2 linked regions of the Elephas maximus indicus genome follow. The protein of the gene in region 2 interacts with the protein of the main gene of each other region in a pairwise test. Links are inferred from orthologs where the notes say so. Each region holds a gene or a part of one and is shown on either strand. Other genes may lie near its edges.

The links.
Region 1: the proteins of PRKCI (region 2) and PARD6G interact in binary tests that used the Homo sapiens proteins (3 or more experiments, as listed by UniProt). The link is inferred for Elephas maximus indicus from reciprocal best matches to the Homo sapiens genes PRKCI and PARD6G.

What each region holds. Positions count from the first base shown.
Region 1 is NC_064829.1:87,057,148-87,067,603, reverse strand, and holds the start of PARD6G (partitioning defective 6 homolog gamma), read left to right. Parts: upstream 1-6,566; 5' UTR 6,567-6,661; coding exon 6,662-6,733; intron 6,734-10,456. UniProt on the Homo sapiens protein: Adapter protein involved in asymmetrical cell division and cell polarization processes. May play a role in the formation of epithelial tight junctions. The PARD6-PARD3 complex links GTP-bound Rho small GTPases to atypical protein kinase C proteins.
Region 2 is NC_064841.1:30,473,048-30,482,852, forward strand, and holds the start of PRKCI (protein kinase C iota type), read right to left. Parts: upstream 4,905-9,805; 5' UTR 4,649-4,904; coding exon 4,545-4,648; intron 1-4,544.

The sequences.
Region 1 (10,456 bases), on a different chromosome or scaffold from region 2:
GAGGAGGATATCGTGTTTGGTAAAGTAGAGGGCCAGCAAAAAAGAAGACCCTCGTCAAGATGGATTGACACAGTGGTAAAACAATGAGCTCAAGCATAACAACAATTGTGAGGATGGCACAGGACCGGCCATTGTTTTGTTCTGTTGTACATAGGGTCACTATGAGTCGGAACAAACTCCACGGCACCTAACAACAACACTCTTAGAATAGACCCTACATTCCAGACAAACAGGGGCCTAGCCATCTGGGAACCTGTGTCAGCAAGCGCTGACCCCTGAAGACCTGTGTCATTTGTCTTCTTAGCAAAACACACTTCTGAGGTAGAAAGGACTTCAAGGACCATTTTGACGAATATCTGGAAGACTGATCAAAAACACCTCCTGGGCTTCCCTGACTTTCTTTTTTCTGCGGACCTATAAAAACCCTGATACTGCCTCATCTCTTTGAACACTCAATCTCATGCTGTGTGTTGCCCAATTCACAAATTGTATGATTGATTAATAAATCTCTAACATTGTTTTAACTTTGCTTCCATTCTAAGAAATTATTCATCAACAGCAAATAACCAAAAAAGGTGCATGTTTACTTCCACGGGAAGGTACAAAAGCAGCTCAGGTCATCAAAGTACCTGTGAGCTGCACATACCTGGTCCTGCTCCTTGACTTGACCCAAGCAGTTGCCTCTGAGATGGTCAGGCAAAGAGAAGAAACACTTTTTTCTGCCCAAGAACTTACTATTCTTTGAGAGTTAAATATCTTACCTAACAGAAGCAGAGCCAAGCTGGAAGCAGAGGGCCATGGATACCCAAGTGCCAGAAACCTATAGGGCCAACTCCTGGTCCCAAGGCTCCAAGTGAAACATCATAAGCATCTATATTATTTTTACTGTGTGTTAGGCAATGTGACGAGTGCAATGTGACAAGTGCTCTTTGTAACCACATTTCTCTCCTAGAGTCCTCACAAAAAGCCTATTTTAGGGAGGAAGACATTGAGGGTGTAAATATTATCTAGATCGCAGCTGGGTAGGAGTAGAGCATTGATATCTTCCTGCGCTGTCCAGATCCACATGTTTTTAGCTGTCATACCACACTGCCTCCTAATTCTATCTGGTTCTGGCTGGGTCCTTTATTCATGCACCCCTGATATAAACCCTACATCACAGCCTCTCTGTTTGCTCCTAGTTGTGCACATGGATGGTGCCCACCAGGGTGCTAGAAGCCCCGCCCCATGTGTCTGGTGACGCTGGGGTTCTTTCTACTTTCTTTGCTCTAAGTTTCTTTGTTCCTTCCTCAAACAACCATCCTTTGCTCCCCACCGAAGGAGGAGCTGGTGGAGGGAAGGTGAAGCTCAAATATTATAATAGCAGCAAACACAGAGGTGCTTCCTGGTGTCAGGGGCTATTCTAAGCGCTCATACACTTGCACTCATTTAACCCTCATAACAGTCTTGTGAGGCTATTATTATTCTTATTACCTCCATTTTACAGATGAGGAAACCAAGGCAGAGAGGACGAGTAATGTGTCCAAACTCACACTCGAGTGATCAGAACCAGAGGGTCTGGTGCTCCTGACCAGCAAACTCCGACCATACCTGGCCCATTCCACCAAGACGTTTTGGTTCCAGCAGTCTCTGACATTTGGCTGTGTCCCTGGCCCAGGTTCTGTCGTTGTTGTTGTTAGGTGCTGTCAAGTCGATTCTGACTCATAGCGACCCTATGTACAAAAGAATGAAACACTGTCTGGTCCTGAGCCACCCTCACAATCGTTGCTATGTTTGAGTCCATTGTTGCAGCCACTGGGTCAATCCATCTCATTGAGGGTCTTCCTCTTTTTTGCTGACTCTATCCTTTACCAAGGATGATGTAGCAGAAAGTCTCACCATCCTCATTTCTAAGGAGGATTCTGGCTGTACTTCTTCCAAGATAGATTTGTTTATTCTTTTGGCAGTCCATGGTATATTCAGTATTCTTTGCCAACACCACAATTCAAAGGCATTGATTCTTCTTCTGTCTTCCTTACTCATTATCCAACTTTCCCATGCATATAAGGCAACTGAAAATACCATGGCTTCGGTCAGGTGCACTTTAGTCCTCAAGGTGACATCTTTGCTTTTTAAGACTTTAAAGAGGTCTTTTGCAGGAGATTTGCCCAATGCAATACATTCTAGGATCAGGTTCTAGGATTCCCATAATAAATCCCCTTACAACCCAAATGGCTCTAACTAACCTACTTGGGCAAGTGCAAAGTTAGAAAACAGTCCATGAGACAATCCTCACCTCTGACACCACCTGTACATTGAAGGTCCCCAAGCCCACAGCCATCTGTGGTCTCTGTCTCCCTTGCTGGGAGAAAGGACAGTACTTGTTGACATTTTGCGCCTCGGAGGGAGCAAAATGAACATGTTAACTTTATCTGAAAAATTATTTCTAAAGCCTCTTCTAATGTAACCGGCTATGAGCCTATGACAAACTGAAGATAAAATGGGAGCATGTCGGGGAGAGGAAGCAGTAGCGGCCAAGCTGGAGAATGGGGAGAGGGTACAACTTGAAAAAGGAGATGACAGCAAGTAGGCTGGAAAAAGGAAGAACATGTAGACCTCCCCTAAGCCCCCTCCTTCACTTCAAGCACAGACTTTGACCTAGCTCTGTTGATGACCAAGCTCAAAGAGATATCAGTACTCTGCTTTTAAAACATAAAAAGTCTTGTGCACCCTGGGCAAAGCCCAAGTGCCAACTAATATCTATAGAAGGGAAGAAAAAGGATAGATTATTTCTTCTATTTATCCTTTTACTCTGAATGTGCATCTGTTCATTTTTGTGTGTTGCTAGGTGTTAGCATTTGAAAATGTTGGCTAAGCTTGCTCTCTGATTTGAAAGTCAAGAAAGTGTCATTTATTTTTGACCCAAACTAGATTGTTTATTTGACGTTTAAACAGAAGACCATTCCTGTGATGGTTAAGATTCTGTGTCAACTTGGCTGGGCCATGATTCTCAGTGTTTTTATGTGATCACTTCCATGATGGGATGTGCTGTGAGTAGCCAATCAGTTGAAAGGGAGTTTCCTTGGGTGTGTGGTCTGCATTCAAATATAAGCAGATGTTCTGGCTCTTTTGCTTGCTCTGGATCCTACAGCTGGCTCCTGTTCATCAGACCTCCTGTTCTTGGGACTTGAGCTAGCAGCTTACCTGCTGAACTTGGGATTTCTCAATCTTCACAGCCTGTGAGCAAGAGCCCTGCTTTCTGACCTGCTGATCTTGGGTTCGCCATCCCCTGCAGCTGCGTGAATCAGGAGAAGCCTCTATCCTGATCCACAGGCTTGGGACATTCCAGCCTCTACAACCACAAGCAGTTTCTTTGATATAAATCTCTCTCTCTCTCCATATATATATTTATACACTTTACTGGTTTTGTTTCTCTAGAGAACCCAGCCTAAGACAATTCCCAACTGTACTTCTTCCCCATTGCTCAATATTAAAACTTGTTCATGTTTACAAATGAACATGTCTAGTACACAGTAAGAAGTAGTGGTCAAAAACAGGGGGTTCAGGATATAGAAAAGGCTATGTTTAAATCCTGGTTCTGTAGCTTGTTAGCTGTGTGACCTTAAGTGAATTATTTACTATCTCGAAGCTTCAAATTTTCCTTTGGTAAAATGGGGATGATAATTGTAGTATAATTGTAGTATTGTTGCAAAATATGTAGAACACTCATATGGATTAAGTTGTGTCACCCAAAAAGATGATATTAAAGTCCTAACCCCTGATACTTGCGAATGTGATTTTGTTTAGGAATAGGGTCTTTGAAGATGTTACCAGTTAAGTTAGCATGAGGTCATACTGAAATAGGGTGGACTCTAATGCAACCCGAATGGTGTCCTAGGAAAGAGAAGAGACACAGAGGCAGGATGGCCATGTGAACACACAGGCAGAGATGGAGTTATGCAGCAGCTGCAAGCCAAGGAATGCCTGGAGCTACTAGGAAGAAAGGATCTTTCCCTAGAGCCTTGAGAAAGAACATGGCCCTGTCGACACCCTGAATTTACCTTCTATTTTCTCTGCTTTGAGCTGCTGAGATTCAACTGTGTGTGGAAGACACTTGGCATCAGCCCCTTCCCAGCACATGCCCATGTGCAAAGGTGGATTGCTTAAAGGTCATTTTGGACATTTGGAGAATGTATTGACCCTATTGCTTGGCGATGTGGAATCTGTTGCTGACTGGGCTCTTTCTCCAAAGGTTTTCTCCCATTCCTAAACCCTTGAGCTTGCTGGTCCACCCCTCCCCAACCTAGAATGCTGCTCATCCCTCCTCTCAATCCCTTGTCCCTCTCTCTTTAAAATATCTGACTCCTGACCATCTCCTCCTACTCATGACAAAACAATGTTGTTCACACTAACTGGTAGCTGGCAGCCAGCAATAAATCTATGATTTTCTTTAAGACCAAAGACCCACATTCAGTTTAGGAAATTTCCCTTTGAAAGACAAGTCAGTTTGTTCTGTTTCAGCTGCTAAGTGTGTATCTCTTGGCACTTGTTGTGTGCTTACTTACTTCTTCATGTGGGCCTTATTTCAGAACTCTGTCTGGTCCCCTGGCCAGTCTCTTATTTTCTTTTAAGGGCAGGGATTGTAACTCTGTGACTTTGTAATCATAGTCCCTGGCATGTAATAGGGTAATTATTAGTGAAATGAAACGAAAATTAAATTTTGGAGACTGCATTTTGGCAATCTGCATTAAAAGCTTTAGAACTGTGTGTACTCTATGGCCTAGAAATTCCATTTTTTGCAATCAAGTCTAAAGATACAATCACAAATAAGTGTATTCAAGAAAAAAAGTACTATATAAGAGAAAAACATTGGAAACATCTTAAATATCCCATAATAAGTCATAATTAAAAATTATGCTTATATTTATCTGTGTAACTTTTAAAAAATAATGTTTTCTAAGAATTTTTAATGAAATTTTCCTTAACATTAGGTGAAAAAAGCAAGTTGTAAAACTGGATAAACACAATGATCACAATTTTGTAAATTATATAAATATGCATGTAGGAAAATCAACTGAAATAAAATGTATCAAAAGGTTAGGTGTGTTACAGAGAACCCGTGAGGGAGCAGGAGAGCAGTGGGATGCAGACCTCAAATTTTCGTAAGAAGACCAGACTTAATGGTCTGACTGAGATTAGAAGCACCCCGGCGGTCATGGTCCCCAGACCTTCTGTTAACCCAAGACAGGAACCACTCCCAAAGCCAACTCTTCAGAAAGGGATTAGACTGGACAATGGGATAGCAAATGATACTGGTGAAGAATGAGCTTCTTGGACCAAGTAGACACATGAGACTATGTTGGTATCTCCTGTCTGGAGCAGAGATGAGAGGGCGGGGGGGGGGGGTGGTCAGAAGCTGGCCAAATGGACAGGAAAATAGAGAGTGGAGGGAAGGAGTGTGCTGTCTCATTAGGGAGAGAGCAGTTAGGAGTATTTAGCAAGGCGTATATAAATTTTTGTATGAGAGACTGACTTAATTTGTAAACTTTCACTTAAAGCACAATAAAAATAAGGTTAGGTGCATTGATTGTTGAATGGTGTGATTCTGAGTGATTTTAACAGTTTTCTTTCATTTCTTTATATTCTCCAGATTTCTTTTACAATGAACTTATACTAAATGTATAACTTATAATAGTATATATAACTTTAAAATTATAATTTATTTTATACATTATAATTAATAATAAAAAAAACTGTTACGTCTTCTTAGTTCATCATAAAGTCCTGAAGGACAGGGACTGTATCTTTGGTTTTGTAGACAGCCCCTTTTCCAGGGGCTTCTGATTAATAAGCACCCCAGCGAAGTTGCTAACAACCGGTGCCATCTTTCTCCTAAAATGTTCTTTTCTTCTAAGGGCTGCCTTTGGAAAAAAAAAAAAAAAAAAAAAACTTCTCATCAGGCCTAGAGTGCTCTGACTCTTCCTTATCTCGTTTAATTTGACCTGTGCTTGGCTGTTCCTTAGGAGTTTGCCTCCCTGCAGACCCCCCTCGAAGACTACCTACAATTGGGCAACTGGTATATACAGGTGAATACCAGTGTAATCAAGCCTCCTGTGGTTTTCATTAGCATTACTCTCTTAAATAATTACCGGAGACAATGCCAGAAACCAGTCCCCTTCCCAGGCTGTCTGTGGAGGCCAAACAGAACCTTGGCTGGGCGAGCCGGGGCACGAAGGAAGCGAGGCGGCCCGGGCGGGTCGGTGAGAGCACGGTTGGAGGATGACTAGGTTTCCTTTCCCGCCCGCGGAGAGCCCCTGACGAGGGCCGCCAAGCGGCATCTTCGGGGCGGGGCCGCGGAGGACGGGGCGTGGGGCGTGGCCTCTGGTGGGCGGGACAAGGGCGGGGCCTCGGGCGCGGGGAGGTGGGGCAGTGCGCGCCGGCGTCCCCGTTCCTCCCGCGCGCGTTCTCCGGTGTCCCGGAGGCGCGCGGCCAGCCCCGCTCGGCCCCGCCACACAGGGAGTCCGCGGGGCGCGAGGCAGTCGGACCCGGACAGCGGCCGGGGCGCACGGCAAGGAAGCGGAGTCGTGGGGTACAGGCGTGGCGGGTAGGGTCGCGGCTCCCAGAGCCCTTCTGCAGACCCTGCGGAGCGAGGGCGACGACGAGGCAGCCCGGGGCCGAAACCATGAACCGGAGTTTCCACAAGTCTCAGACCCTGCGCTTCTACGACTGCAGCGCCGTGGAAGTCAAAAGCAAGGTTAGCGCGGAGGGGTCTGCCCGGCCGGGGGCTTTGCACCCCCTTCAAATGAATGGGGAGGACGCGGAGGGGCCTGACAAAGTGGGAGGGAGAGGCGCCGGCAACAACTTTCCGAGCTCGTGCACTGCCCGCCCCTCGGCGCGGGGCCGCGCGGGGCCGCGGGATGCACAGGGGTCTGGCTGTTTGCGGGCCCCGCAGACAAAGCCGGCGCCCAGGATGGTCAGCTCGGAGCCGGCGCGGCCGGAGGGCCGAGGGCCAGCGGGAGCAGCTTGCGCGGGGCCGGAGCGCTCTGCCAAAACTGCTCTTTTGTTCAGCCAGCTGAGGGGCGACCCGGGCGCTCTGCACGTTCGTAGGGAGGGCGGCGTTTCCTGGGCGAACCGGGGCCGTGGGCTGCTCGGGGTCGGGCTTCTTAGAAAGGGCCCTGGCCGCGCCGCCTCCTTCGCGTTGCGGAGGAGACTCCTTACCAGCGATGAGGCCGGCCGCGAGCGTCCTGAGTGGGACCGCCGGACTAGACTCCAGTTCCAGCACCCAGTCCGGACTGAATACCCCCGCCCCACCCTCCAGTTCCCTGGTGTCCTGGACCCTCTGATTCCCAAGTCTCCCGGGCCCTCTGGTCCCCCTGGCGCGCCCCCTGGCTCCCGAGTTCGGCCCCTAACTCACCACCTGGCTCCCAAACCCTGGGTCTGGCTCCAGGCACCCCCTGGACTGGACCCCTCAGGCCCCCAGCCCAGCCCTCCAGTCCCGCGTTTACCCCGGCCGGTCCCCAGGCCCTGCACCTCCAGACGCCCGCGCCCGGCCCGAGCGTGCCCGAACCTGCGGGTGATCGGGTGTGTGTGGGGACGATTGTCTGATAGGATCAGGCGAATGTGCCCTTTGCGGGGGCGGCTCCCCTACCGCGCCTTCGCCGCAGAAGAAGGTCTCAGTCGTGGACCCGCAGGCCAAGGAGCAGCCTCAGCCTTTAGGGTCCGGAGGAGGGGGTGCTCGGCCTTGGAATGATTGCTGCCCAAGAGGAGCTCTCTTGCACCCTTTTCTGCACCACCTTCCTTCTCTGTAAAGGGGTGGGCCGCGGAAGGTGGGCTCGAGACCTCGCTCCGCGCCCACCTGGGGCCCAGCCTCTGGGGAGATGTCTGTGGAACCCGGGAGGCGAGTCCAGCGGTACCCCTCCCCTGGCTGCCCAGACCCACCGAGGGGTCTCTAGGGGCAGAACAGGCGGGGCTGTTTTTCGACCCCTTACTTTCTCATTAGGAGACCCTGCCCTTCCCCCACGCTAACTCTAACTCTGGCCACATTCCCTCTTCTGCCCAGGAGTGCCCACCGAAATCAAATGTCCTCTTTGGGTTATGTAAGGGGGAGGAAACTGCGAGCATGAGTGGGAGGCAAAAATAACCGTCCAGTTTCCTTAATTTGGTCAAATGTAACTTTCTAGAGATGCACCGTCCAGCACAATAGCCACGCGTGGTATCTACTTTTTTAAAAGTTTTTATTTTGATATAATTGTAGATTGACAAGAAGTTTTAAGAAATAATAAGGATCCCCTTTTTAATGGTAACACCGCGCACAGCTACCGCGCAGCATCGGACCCAAGAAGTTGGTGTGGATGCACTCCCCTGACCTCATTCTTCTCACCAGCTGGATGCACACATATGTGTGAGAGTGAATGTGTATGGTGTGTGTGACTGCGTGATAGTGTATATGTGTGAATGTGTGTGTGAGTATAAGCATGTGAGTGTGTATATGAGTATGTGTGACAGTGTGAGTGTGTGGTGTGTGTGAGTGTGTGCTTGTGTGTGTGCAAAGTGTGAATGCATGGAAATTGTGTGATTAAGTGCCTGTGGTATATGTGAGTATGTATATATGTAAGAATGTGTGTGAGAGCATGTGAGCGTATGTTCCACAGTGTGTGAGCGTGTGGTATGTGAGAGTGTGTATATGTGTAAGCATGGGTGAGTGTGTCGTGTGAGGGTATGTGTGTGAGAGCATGTGTGTGTATGAGTGGAACAGTGTGAGGGAGCATTGTGATTGTGTGTATAAGTGTATGTATGTGAGAGAATATGTATGTGGGAGTGTGTGTCCGTGTGTGTGGTGTGAGAGTGTGTGTGACTGTGGGGCTCTGAGTGTGTGTGTATTTAGTCCTATGCAGTTTTTTTTTATCATATGTGTAGTCTTGTGTGACTACCAGTGCGGTCTTTTTACAGTGGCTTCTTAATTTCATTAAAATTAAAAACTCAGTCCCTGTGTAGCACTGGCCACAGACAGCATGGCTGAAGAGGACCAGAGGCACAAATCAGGCCTGGATCCCCTGGGGGAAGTCCGCCTGGGAGAGGGTTAGGGCTGCTGCCTTTGCTCCAGGCAGCGAGGAGCCTGCCTCAGGCCACTGTGTCTCAGGGAGCAGCTGCCTGACTCCCTCTGCTCTGCCCAGGTGAGGGCACTCTGCAAGGCCCACATGGCCTGGGCCTGTGGCCAGCTGGCTCGCTGGACACTGCCCCCCGCCCCCCCAGCAGGCTTTCAGATGATGGCCGGAACTTATTGTTTGTTCAGAGAGGCCCAGGCTCTTCCCTCTGGACACCCTCCCACAGACCGACTTTGTAGTTGGTAGTCGTTAGCACAAGAGATGTTTGAACCTATTTTGAAGAATAATAAGAAAAATTGTTTGCACCAGGCTTGGGCATTGGCGCAGCTCGGCAGGAGCCTGTTTCTACTCCATGCATTTGTGTCAAAATAGAGCAAAACTTGATGGAAAACCTGTCTTTACTCAGCCTCCTGCAGCACCATACAACTTGGGCTTTTACATGGGGAGAATGGTGGTGAGGAGCTGGGCCCAGGCAAGGCCCGCCCTGCTCTCTTCTCGAACTTCCAGGCTCTTCCGAGTCTCAGTTGTTTAGTCTGTAAAACAGCGCTATACCTGTTCTGCGTGCCTCCCAGAGCCAAACAAGCTGATGAATGTGAAGACATTCCCCACGTTGTAAGAGAGTTAAGAGCTGTGGGTCAGGATCCTGTGGTGTTTCGGGGTGTTGGGTCTGCAGACCTCCTCCAACCCTCTCAGAATTCTTGACATTGGCCATACCCTACAACTGGTCAGCTCCCAATGGCCTGGGGACAGGGTCCAGGTGTGCAGCAGGGGTGGGGCATGAACTTGACTTGGTGACTCCCTCCCCTTCCCCAGAGACCTCAGCTTTTGCACCAGTAGTTCTCTGTGCCCCAGGCCAGCTGTTTGTACTTTTGGTTGTGGTAATTAGGCCGAATTTTGCCACTTACCTTTGGCTTGTGCCTCTCCTCACAGAAGACCTGAAGGTGGGGAGGGAGGCAGATACAAAGACATCTGGGTGGGGCGGGGGGGAGGGAGACACATTTCAGACCAGGGAGATAGAGAGCGACACGATGCCCTTAGGAATTGAGTAGTGCCTTTAACTGCATCTGTATTTGTCAGCCCCACTGGCATCTGCGCATCCTGCAAGACTGAAGGGAAGCATTCATCTCATCTGCGTGCGATGCTCTGTGCGAGGGTTGCTGTGTCTCCACCCCACCCACTCACCCTGGCTGGAGGCCCCTGTATTACCTGTCTGAGTTATATATTCCCAGGCTCCTTCCAACTCAGACATTGATTACCAGCTACTCATGTTCTCCATCCCTGAGCTAATGGCTGAAGCCCATGTTTTTTCTGACCTGCGTGCCTCTGGTTTTGTTGCTTCCCCGTCTGCTTTGTCTAAAAATCTACCCTACTTT
Region 2 (9,805 bases):
GGTCCATCCTGGCCTCTCCAGCCACTCTCTCAACTCTTTGGTCCCACTGCTAACAAGCAATTTATCTCCATATTTTCTAATTCAAATTTCTGAGGGGATTTTTTGGTCTTTTTTTTTTTGGCACCAGGTCACTGTGGTCTCTTAAAACTGTGGCACAGTTGCCCCAGGGTTAAGTTGCATGCCAGGAACTCCAAGACCAAACAACTAACCTTCCCCCAACCCTCAACTCAGTATAGTATTTTTATTTCCTTAGAACCGTCAATAAAGTACATCGCTAAAATAATTTTGCAACACTTTTATAAAAAAGTCTTGCCAAGACTTGTTCACAGTGACAGAAATCTTACATACTTCTTCACAGAACCAGCTATACATCCCGAATACGTAAGGAATTAACAACACCTTATTTCCAGATGTTCATGGAAGGAATCCTCTGGCTTGTTACAACTGATCAACACCAATGGTTTAAAAAGCATTTTTCCAAGCTTTCTGCAAATTTTCCCATACATTTATAATGTAAAGAAATCAGTAGTCCAGACGTTTCCTTGTTAAATTCTATCCCACAATATCAAGCTAACTTTTTTTTTATAAGGGTAAGTACATACAATGGCAATCTATCACTAAGTAACAAAACCTGTTTCTCTTCCTCCACACTAACACCACTTGGTAATGACTGAAGACGGCGACTCACTGAGAAGATCCTCTGGGAGGGAAAGAGAAGTACATGTCATGAGACAGCTACTCTTAGGTGGCTTCCACTCAAATCAGATTCTCACTGCTATCAGTGTCCTGCTTAAAACTAGAAAAAATTCCAGTTAGCTCTTGTATCTAGGAAGACATCACATTTTCGCTGAAGTCAAACTTAACAGAATGAGAATAGCATACACATGTTTGAAAGGAGAGGGCAATTAATTCACTAAATAATTCTGGCTATTCCAAGATTCAGCAACTACTGGGAGGCAATATTGCTAGAAGGGGATAAGGGGAAGGCCATTCAGAAAATCTGAGAAAAAATAAAACTTTTTCAAATGCAGATTGTCCTTACGTTTCTTGGTATAAAGCTGGGATCTTCTATTCTAAAATCATGTAGAAGGTGTTCTAGTTAGCCAACCTGTTCATAACCTATACTCGCTGGTGACTCATTGTCACTTCATCAGTAGTAATAAGCAGCTGACCATGTAACATCACAACCGCCAGTTTAGACTACTGTTAATAAACTATCATCTTAACAGATCTAATTTCATAGGACAAAAATTGATACAATTTAGAAACTGTTGATGTCGTCTTTAAATGCAGCTTGAAATGAAGGCACTACTAGAAAGCTTTCATTGAATAAAAAGCACTAAAGGGAGAGGGTTAATTCTTGTCTTTGCTTAGCAAAAATTCATAAGTTTAAAAAAAAAAACAAAACGTTAACTTGAATGTCTTGGAGAACAGTCCCTGATGCTGCTGCTGCTGCCTGCAACCAGGTAGCACGTGGTTCTGCTGTCCCACTGGGCCAGAATTTCCTCCCTCCTCGCCTCAAAGGTTAAAGCACTAAAGAGATTATTATGTCCTCATACTCTCCTTTAAATTATTGGAGCAACAAGCCAAGACAACATAAGATACCTGTGTTCCTAGAGTACAGCAAGACTTTGGCTTCTTTCTAAAAGAGAAGCTTACAATCACTTTGATTTACTAACTAGGCCTATTTATGTTTGTCAAACTAATAAAACAACAAAAAAAGAAAAAGCACTAATTCCATTTTTCATAGTTGGAGTCACCGGAGACTATGTAAGGTTAGTAAGTCAAGAATTTGTATAATTTGAAGTCATAAAGGTAACCAGCAGAACGAGTATGATAATTAACAACCAAAAATTGAGAGGCACTGGGAAGAAAGGAGAAACCCTGGTGGCGTAGTGGTTAAGAGTCAGGCTGCTAACCAAAGGTTGGCAGTTCGAATCTGCCAGGCGCTGCCTGGAAACCCTATGGGGCAGTTCTACTCTGTCCTATAGGGTCACAATGAATCGGAATCGACTCAAGGGCAATGGGTTTGTTTTTTTTGGGGGGGGGGAGTAGGGAAACAGAAAGTAGTGTGCACCCTATTTCTCATCTTTCAGGGGAAGGAATCAATAGATGCTTTCTAAAGTTGATATACCACGAAACAGAATTTAACTTTTAAAAGTAATAAAGGCAGTCTAAGATGCATCAATTGGTCTCAACCCACCTGGAGCAAAGGAAAATGAAGAACACCAAGGCCACACGACAACTAAGAGCCCAAGAGACAGAAAGGGCCACATGAACCAGAGACCTACATCATCCTGAGACTAGAAGAACTAGTTGGTGCCCGGCCACAATCGATGACTGCCCTGACAGGGAGCACATCAGAGGACCCCTGAGGGAGCAGGAGATCAGTGGGATACAGACCCCAAATTCTCATAAAAAGACCATACTTAATGGTCTGACTGAGACTAGAGGAATCCCGGCGGCCATGGTCCCCAGACCTTCTGTTGGCACAGGACAGGAACCATCCCCGAAGACAACTCATCAGACATGAAAGGGAGTGGTCAGCGGGTGGGAGAGAGATGCTGATGAAGAGTGAGCTAATTATATCAGGTGGACACTTGAGAGTGTGTTGGCAACTCTTGTCTGGAGGGGGGATGGGAGGATAGAGAGAGAGGGAAGCCGGCAAAATTGTCAAGAAAGGAGAGACTGAAAGGGCTGACTCAAGAGGGGGAGAGCAAGTGGGAGTAGGGAGTGAGATGTATGTAAACTTATATGTGACAGACTGATTGGATTTGTAAACGTTCACTTGAAGCTTAATAAAAGTTATAAAAAAAAAAGTAATAAAGGCAACCTCCAAAAGAACCAGGAATAAACTGTCAACAGTGGTTAGTTACCTTGGATGCTGGGTTGGGGGGTGGGGAGTACTTTTTATTTTATACTTCTGTACAATTTGCATGTTTTTGTTTTTTTTACCTAGTTTTTCAAAATTGTCAATTATCAACATCTTTTTTATTCATTTTTTTTAAAAAACATGTACTATTATCTCATTCCTTGCACTTAACAATTCATGGACTGTCCACTTCATAAAATGGAACATACTCTACGGTGAATTATCTATCAAATTAAAGATAAGGTAAAGGAAGCAAAACTTTTCCCACAATGCAAAATACATGGCTGACCACCCTCAAGTTAAAACAGCTCTTATGACAACCACAAACTTTTTACACTTCTTGGTATTATTTTAAAATCAATACCCCCTTGATCAATTAAAGTAAAAACAGATATATTGTCCAACATAACACCTTATACAGTCCTGAATACAGTCAAGCTAATAAATAGAGGTCACAGGCTTCATTGCAGCAAACTAGTAAGTTCTGACATCAAATCAACAAAATATTTAGGAGCTTCTTTTTCTTCGAAATTAAAACAAAAGAGGCAATTTGAGATTTTTCTATCTTCACTGATCCTCTCAGGAATGTGAAAGTATGCAATGCAGTTTCAATCTTGTAGTACTTGAGGGTTTTTCTCTTTTTTTTTTTTTTTTTTCTTTCAGTGCTTGAGTTTTTGAAGCAATTTACTTCTGCCTGGACAAGCAGCTGGGTTTTCTGTTAACCCTTAGTCTGAATTCTTTACGCTCACACTAACATTTCAACTTTCTAATGCTTCTAAACATAGTTATCTCAAAGAAATTTCAAAACCACAACTGAGTTCAAAGGAAGGGTGGCACTTCGGGTCACTGATAATGGAACATGATTTAACACAATGGTTTTAGGGATGGGTTCTTCCTGGTAACCACAGGAGTTATAATTTAGGTAATGATATGAGTAAAGATCACAGAATTTAAGACTTGTGCCTAGGCTCGTCCTCTTCTCACCTTGCAATAGCTCGCCCTATAGGATGGTCCTTGAATCAACAATGTCAAGAAGGGGTTCACAAAATTTTACTTAACACATATGCGAACTAATCTTGGCAAGACCTAAGTACCTAATTCACATCCTTGAACACCCATCAACTTTACTCTTAAATAATAACTCCTGTGTCTGATACACTGGCAGCCCGACCACAGTCCAGGCACACTTCACGAAGATAAACCTGGCTTAGAGACCAAGGTGCTTTAGGCCTGCCGATAATCATTGAAAGAGCCAGCTGAACTGATGCAGTCCTGTCTTCTAAGGCCGTAGCAAACTGATTTAACTGAGGCATTACTCAGAATCCTCAACTCTCAACCAAAACACATCCAGATTTGACGTAAGGCCTTACGTACGAATCTCTCAGTGGGTGAGTCTCCAACACCCACCAAGTCCACTTTATCTCAGAGAAGGCTCCCCCTCAGATCCTACTCTGCCCCCCACCCCAGGACCCCGGCACCACATCTGGGGGTGCCTCCAATCCCGCACCCCCATCTCCCGCTCCCGACCACTCTGTCACCCACCCAGAGTCCCAGAAGCCGTCCGTTCAGCCCAAACCGCCCAGCACACCTTCAGCCCCTCACCCTCCCCACCTCCAAGCCAAATCGAGCTGGCCTGTCCCCTCCCCTCCTGCCCTCACCGCACGTCACTCACCCGCGGTAGTAGGCTTTCACCCGGACCTGGTGAGAATGGTCCCCGCTGCCGCCGCCGCCTGCGACCCGGTGGGACATGGTGCTGCTGTCCCTCTGGGTCGGCATCTCCTCCCTCTCCAGCCTCAACGCCCGGGGCCGAGGGGGCGGGAGGAGGCGCCGACGCCGTACGGGTCTCAGCCGCCCGAGCCTCTCGAGAGTCGCGGCCCCTCGCCTGCCTACCTGCTCTCCCCGCCCGCAGCGCCGACCCGAGGGTTGCCTCGCCTAGCGTCGGCAGCCAGAAGCGCGCGGCTCCTCCCACCCCGGCAGCCGCCGCCGCAGCCCCTACGGCAGGCGCGGCCCAGGGAGCCTCCCCGCCTCCGCCCCTCCCACCTCGCTCGTTCCGAAGGCCCGCATTCCGGGATAGGGCGGGCGCAACCGTCGATCCAACTCCGGAGCCCCAGTGCCGGGCTGAACCATTCTTACGGAGGCCAGAGAAAGGGGGGAGAGGAAAAAGTGAGGGCTTGTCATCACGCCAAATTCGCCGGGAGGGGGCCTATCTTCGGAGCTGTAATTAAGAAGACAAGAAAAATAGGGTAACTATAGCTCTGTAAAAAGCCTTTTCCCTGCAAGAAAAATGGTAAAGAACAAAAGCTGCAGTGTATCCTCCCAGCTTCCAACTTGGTCGCGTCGGCAGTCGGCCGCTGGGGATTCGGGGTAGATTTGGGTGCAGGATTCTGGGATTTGGAGTTCCCGTGGGATTCTGGGACTTGAGGTTCTTTCTGTGCGGAACGCGGGTCTTTCCCTGGCCCTGTCTGTCTCCAGGGTGCGACGTGGGAGCCGTCGGCGTGGAAATTCTGAATTCAGCATGGGCATCTGAGGGCCCTGGAAACGATTGCGCTTCGTCACGAATAAGACTTTGTTCTCTGACGAATTCTCCCTTCCAATTGCATACCCAACCCAGTGCCGTCGAGTCCGTTCCGACTCATAGCGAGATGATCTAAATTTTGCAGTATCTTCCTTGGGAACAAGAATATGGGCGCTTACTCAGTATAGCCTCTCTTGTGGAAAGAATTTAATATTTGTAACAAATAGGATCATGAATGTAATAAAGGAGGAAAAGCAATTAAAAGATACAATGGAAGGCAGACGTTTCTTCCTTCGCGGCCCCTATGGCTAGTCCCTCGTTGTGCTGCCATTGCACGGGACAGGTGCACAATGAATACTTATCCAATCAATCAACCCGTTAATGACTCTGATTAGCATTTGTTCTGTTAGCACCGGTTAACCAAGGATTAGGAAGGATTCATTCTTGCAGCCTAATCTTTGACTTTCCTCTGGTCTTGCTCTGTCACATAACTCCTACTAAAATCACAGGTAGCATGGATCTAGCTCCTTCACCAGTCACGATACCAATCCAGGTTAGAAGAGTTGGAATAATCAAATAAACTGGATTTTTACTAAAATAGGTTTGGGAAATTGCCTCATCAGAGTGATGTGTGACACTTATACTAGTGTGACATCCTTCAACTGCTGCAGACTTGGATTATGTGCTCTAATAAAATTTCCCCTTAAAGGACATGATACCAGGTTTGGGGCAGTTGGAGACCTGCATCAACATGTTAAATGCGGATCAATTAGTTATGGAATGTAAGTTATTTCTCAAACGAGATGACAAAATTTCAATTGGACCCACGGAAAATTTAGTATGCTTGTGGCAAGTTTGAAAGATTATCTAATGCTCTAGAAATGGAAATTTATGTAATTTGAGGAGGAAGAATTTATAGAGAAGTGAAAGGTAAGGAATTGGGAACTTTCATTTAGATCCTTATTCCTTGCAGCTTGAAAATTCATCATTGGCCTGTAGCTTGCTTTGAAGGTGACCCTTGTTTACTGAGGCTTATTGCTTACTTTGTTGCTATACCCAAGAAAAAAACCCATTGCCGCTGAGTCGATTCCGACTCATAGTGACCCTATAGGACATAGTAGAACAGCCCCGTAGAGTTTCCAAGGAACGCCTGGTGGATTTGAACTGTCGTCCTTTTGGTTGGCAGCGGTAGCTCTTAACCACTAGGTCACCAGGGATAAGGACCTGTAAATACTGACGAGTTGCATCAATCCCACTATATAAATTTTTTTTTCTGAAGGATGAAAGCTATGAGTTGTGATTATCAGGGAAAGCATGAAATTAATTTTAACAGGATTACTTTTACAACTCACCATACATACAATTCACCCATTTAAAGTATACAATTTAATAGTTTTTAGTACGTTCACAAAGTTGTGGTATCATCACAGATTCTCATTCCAGAACATTTTCATCGCTCCAAAAAGAACCGCCACACTCATTAGCAGTCACTCTTCATTCTTCCCCACCTTCTTCCTGGTAACCACTAATCTACTTTCTGTCTTTATGGATGTGCCTTTTCTCTACATTTTATATAAATGGAACCATATAGTATACGATCTTTTGTATCTAGCTTCTTTTACAGACCATTATGTTTTCAAAGTTCATCCATGTTGTAGCACATATCAGTTCTTCATTCCCTTTTTTTTTTTAACCCCCATTTTAATTTCTTTATTGTGGTGGAATATGTGTAACAAGATACTTGTCGTTTTAACCATTTAAGTATGTACAACCCAGGAATATTAATTACATTCACCGTGTTGTGCAACCACCACCACTACGCATTTCCATGTCCAAATTAATTTTGATACAGTCCAATTTTTCTAACACCACCTTTAACAGAAACTCAGAACCTTTTAAGCAATAACTCCGTTTCCTCCTTTGCCCAGCCCCTGGTAAACAGACTTCTGCCTTTATGCATTTGCCTATATTTCATAAAAGTGGGGTCATACAGTGTTTGTCCTTTTGGGCCTGAATTATTTCACTCAGCATATTTTCAAGGTTCATCCATGTTGTAACATGTCTCAGAACTGAACTTCATTTCTCTTTATAGGGGAATAATATTCCATCGCATAGAAATACCACATTTTGTTTATTCATTCATCTTTTGAACATTTAGGTCATTTCCACCTTTTGCGTATTGTGAATAATGCTGCAATGAACATTGGTGTACATGTATCTGTTTGAATCCCTTTCAAGTCTTTCAGGTAAATACCTAGGAATGCAATTGCTGGATCATATGGTAAGTCTATGTTTAGCTTTTTGAGGCACCGCCAGACTGTTTTCCAGAGAGGCTTCTCCATTGTACATTAGCACCAACAATGGATGAGATTCCAATTTTCCCACTTCCTTGCCAATGCTTGTCATTTTCTGATAATAGCCATCCTAGCATCTGAAGTGATATTTCTTTGTGGTTTTGATTTCCTAATGACTAATGGTTGTCAGGAGGGATCAGTCCCTGGAGAAGGACATCATGCTTAGCAGAGTACAGGGTCAGCAGAAAAGAGGAAGACCCTCAACGAGGTGGATTGACACAGTGGCTGCAACAATGAGCTCAAGCATAGCAACGATTGTAAGGATGGCTCAGGACAGGGCAGTGTTTCCGTCTGTTGTGCACAGGGTCTCTATGAGTTGGAACTGACTCAACGGCACCTAACAAAAACAATGACTAATGACATTGCACATTTTTTAATGTGCTTATTGGTCATTTGTATACCTTTCCAGGTGAAATGTCTGTTCCAGTCCTTTGCCCATTTTTTAATTGAGTTGTTTGTCTTTTGGTTTTTGAGTGGTAGTAGTTCATTAAATATTCAGGATATTAAACATTTATAGGATACATATTTACCAAATATTTTCTCCCATTATATAACTCTTTCTACTTGGTTGATAAAGTCCTTTGATGCACAATTTTTTTTAATTTTTTGAAGTCCAATTCATTTTTTTGTCTTTTGTGCTTTTGGTATCATATCTAAGAATCCATTGTCAAAAACTAGTCCTGTAGTTTTACCCTTATGTTTTCTTCTAAGAGTTTTACGGTTTTAGTTCTTACATTTAGATCACTGAGCCATTTTGAGTCACTTCATTCCTTTTCATGGTGAAAGAATATTCCATTGTGTGGCTATGCCAGATTTTGTTTATCCATTCATCAATTGATGGACATTTTTGTTTTTTTCTATTTTTTAGCTATTTTGAATAATGCTGTATGAACATTTGTGTACAAATTTATGTATGTCATATATTTTTATGTTTTGGGTATATACCTAAGAGTGGAATTTTTGTTTCATATGTAACTCATAATGGTTAAATGTTTGGCTGCTAAATGAAATGTCACAGATTTGAACCCACCAGCCGTTCCATGGGAGAAGAGACCTGGTGATCTACTCCCATAAAGATTACAGCCTAGGAAGCTCTTGAGCCAGATCCACTATGTCATATATGATCTCTATGACTTGGAATCGACTGCCCACAACAACAATATGGTAACTCTACGTTTAACTTTTTGAGGGTGAATGAATAATTTCTTTTATAAGGGTCAGCATATAGCTGGTTCCTGGTTCCTATGAGGCAGAGGTTAAAGATGTCCCAAATGTTCAACTTTTCCAAACTGCTATACCACTCCATCATTTCTAAGATCAACTACTCCTCCTCCCCTCAGTGCTCTCCCTCCCATCTTTGGGCTCCAAAATTCACTGCAACGTCTCACAGAACTCACAAACTGTATCAACGAAATGACTCATGCAGTTGTGGAGGCTGGTGAGCTCCAAATCCACGGGCCAGTTGTAGTCTTCTCTTGACCCACGTGGCTACAGGGGCTGATGAATCCAAACTGGCAGTTCATACCACAGGCTGCTGGTTCACGAGGCTGCAGAAGCTGGTGAATCAGGTCAGAAGACAGGCCGTCAGCCCACAGGGCTGTGGAGGCCAGTGAATCCCAGAATCGGCAGGTCAGACAGCAGGCCTCTGGCTCAAGTCCCAAGAACTAGAGGTTAGATGATCACAAACCAGACACGGATCCAGATGCAAAGAAACAGAGCCCAGTTAGGGCATCCACATATATACCTTAGATGCAAGCCACACCCCAGGGAAGGGCATAACTTGAGTACGGGTGGGACTTGAGTCATGCCCTCCTGTGAGGCTGGGACCCAAGACACACCCACATCAATCCTGCCTCATCAGCATGTAGAGGTCACAGTCCACAATACATAAGATGGAGGACAATCACACAATACTGGAAATCATAGCCTAGCTAAGTTGACACGTGCCTCCAATGCTCATAGGTTCCATACACATTGTTTGCATAGTTCCACCCAATCATTGTGTGTGAGTCGCAAAGACCATGGGTAGAAGGGCCATATTATGTAATTCATTGCACCATGGAG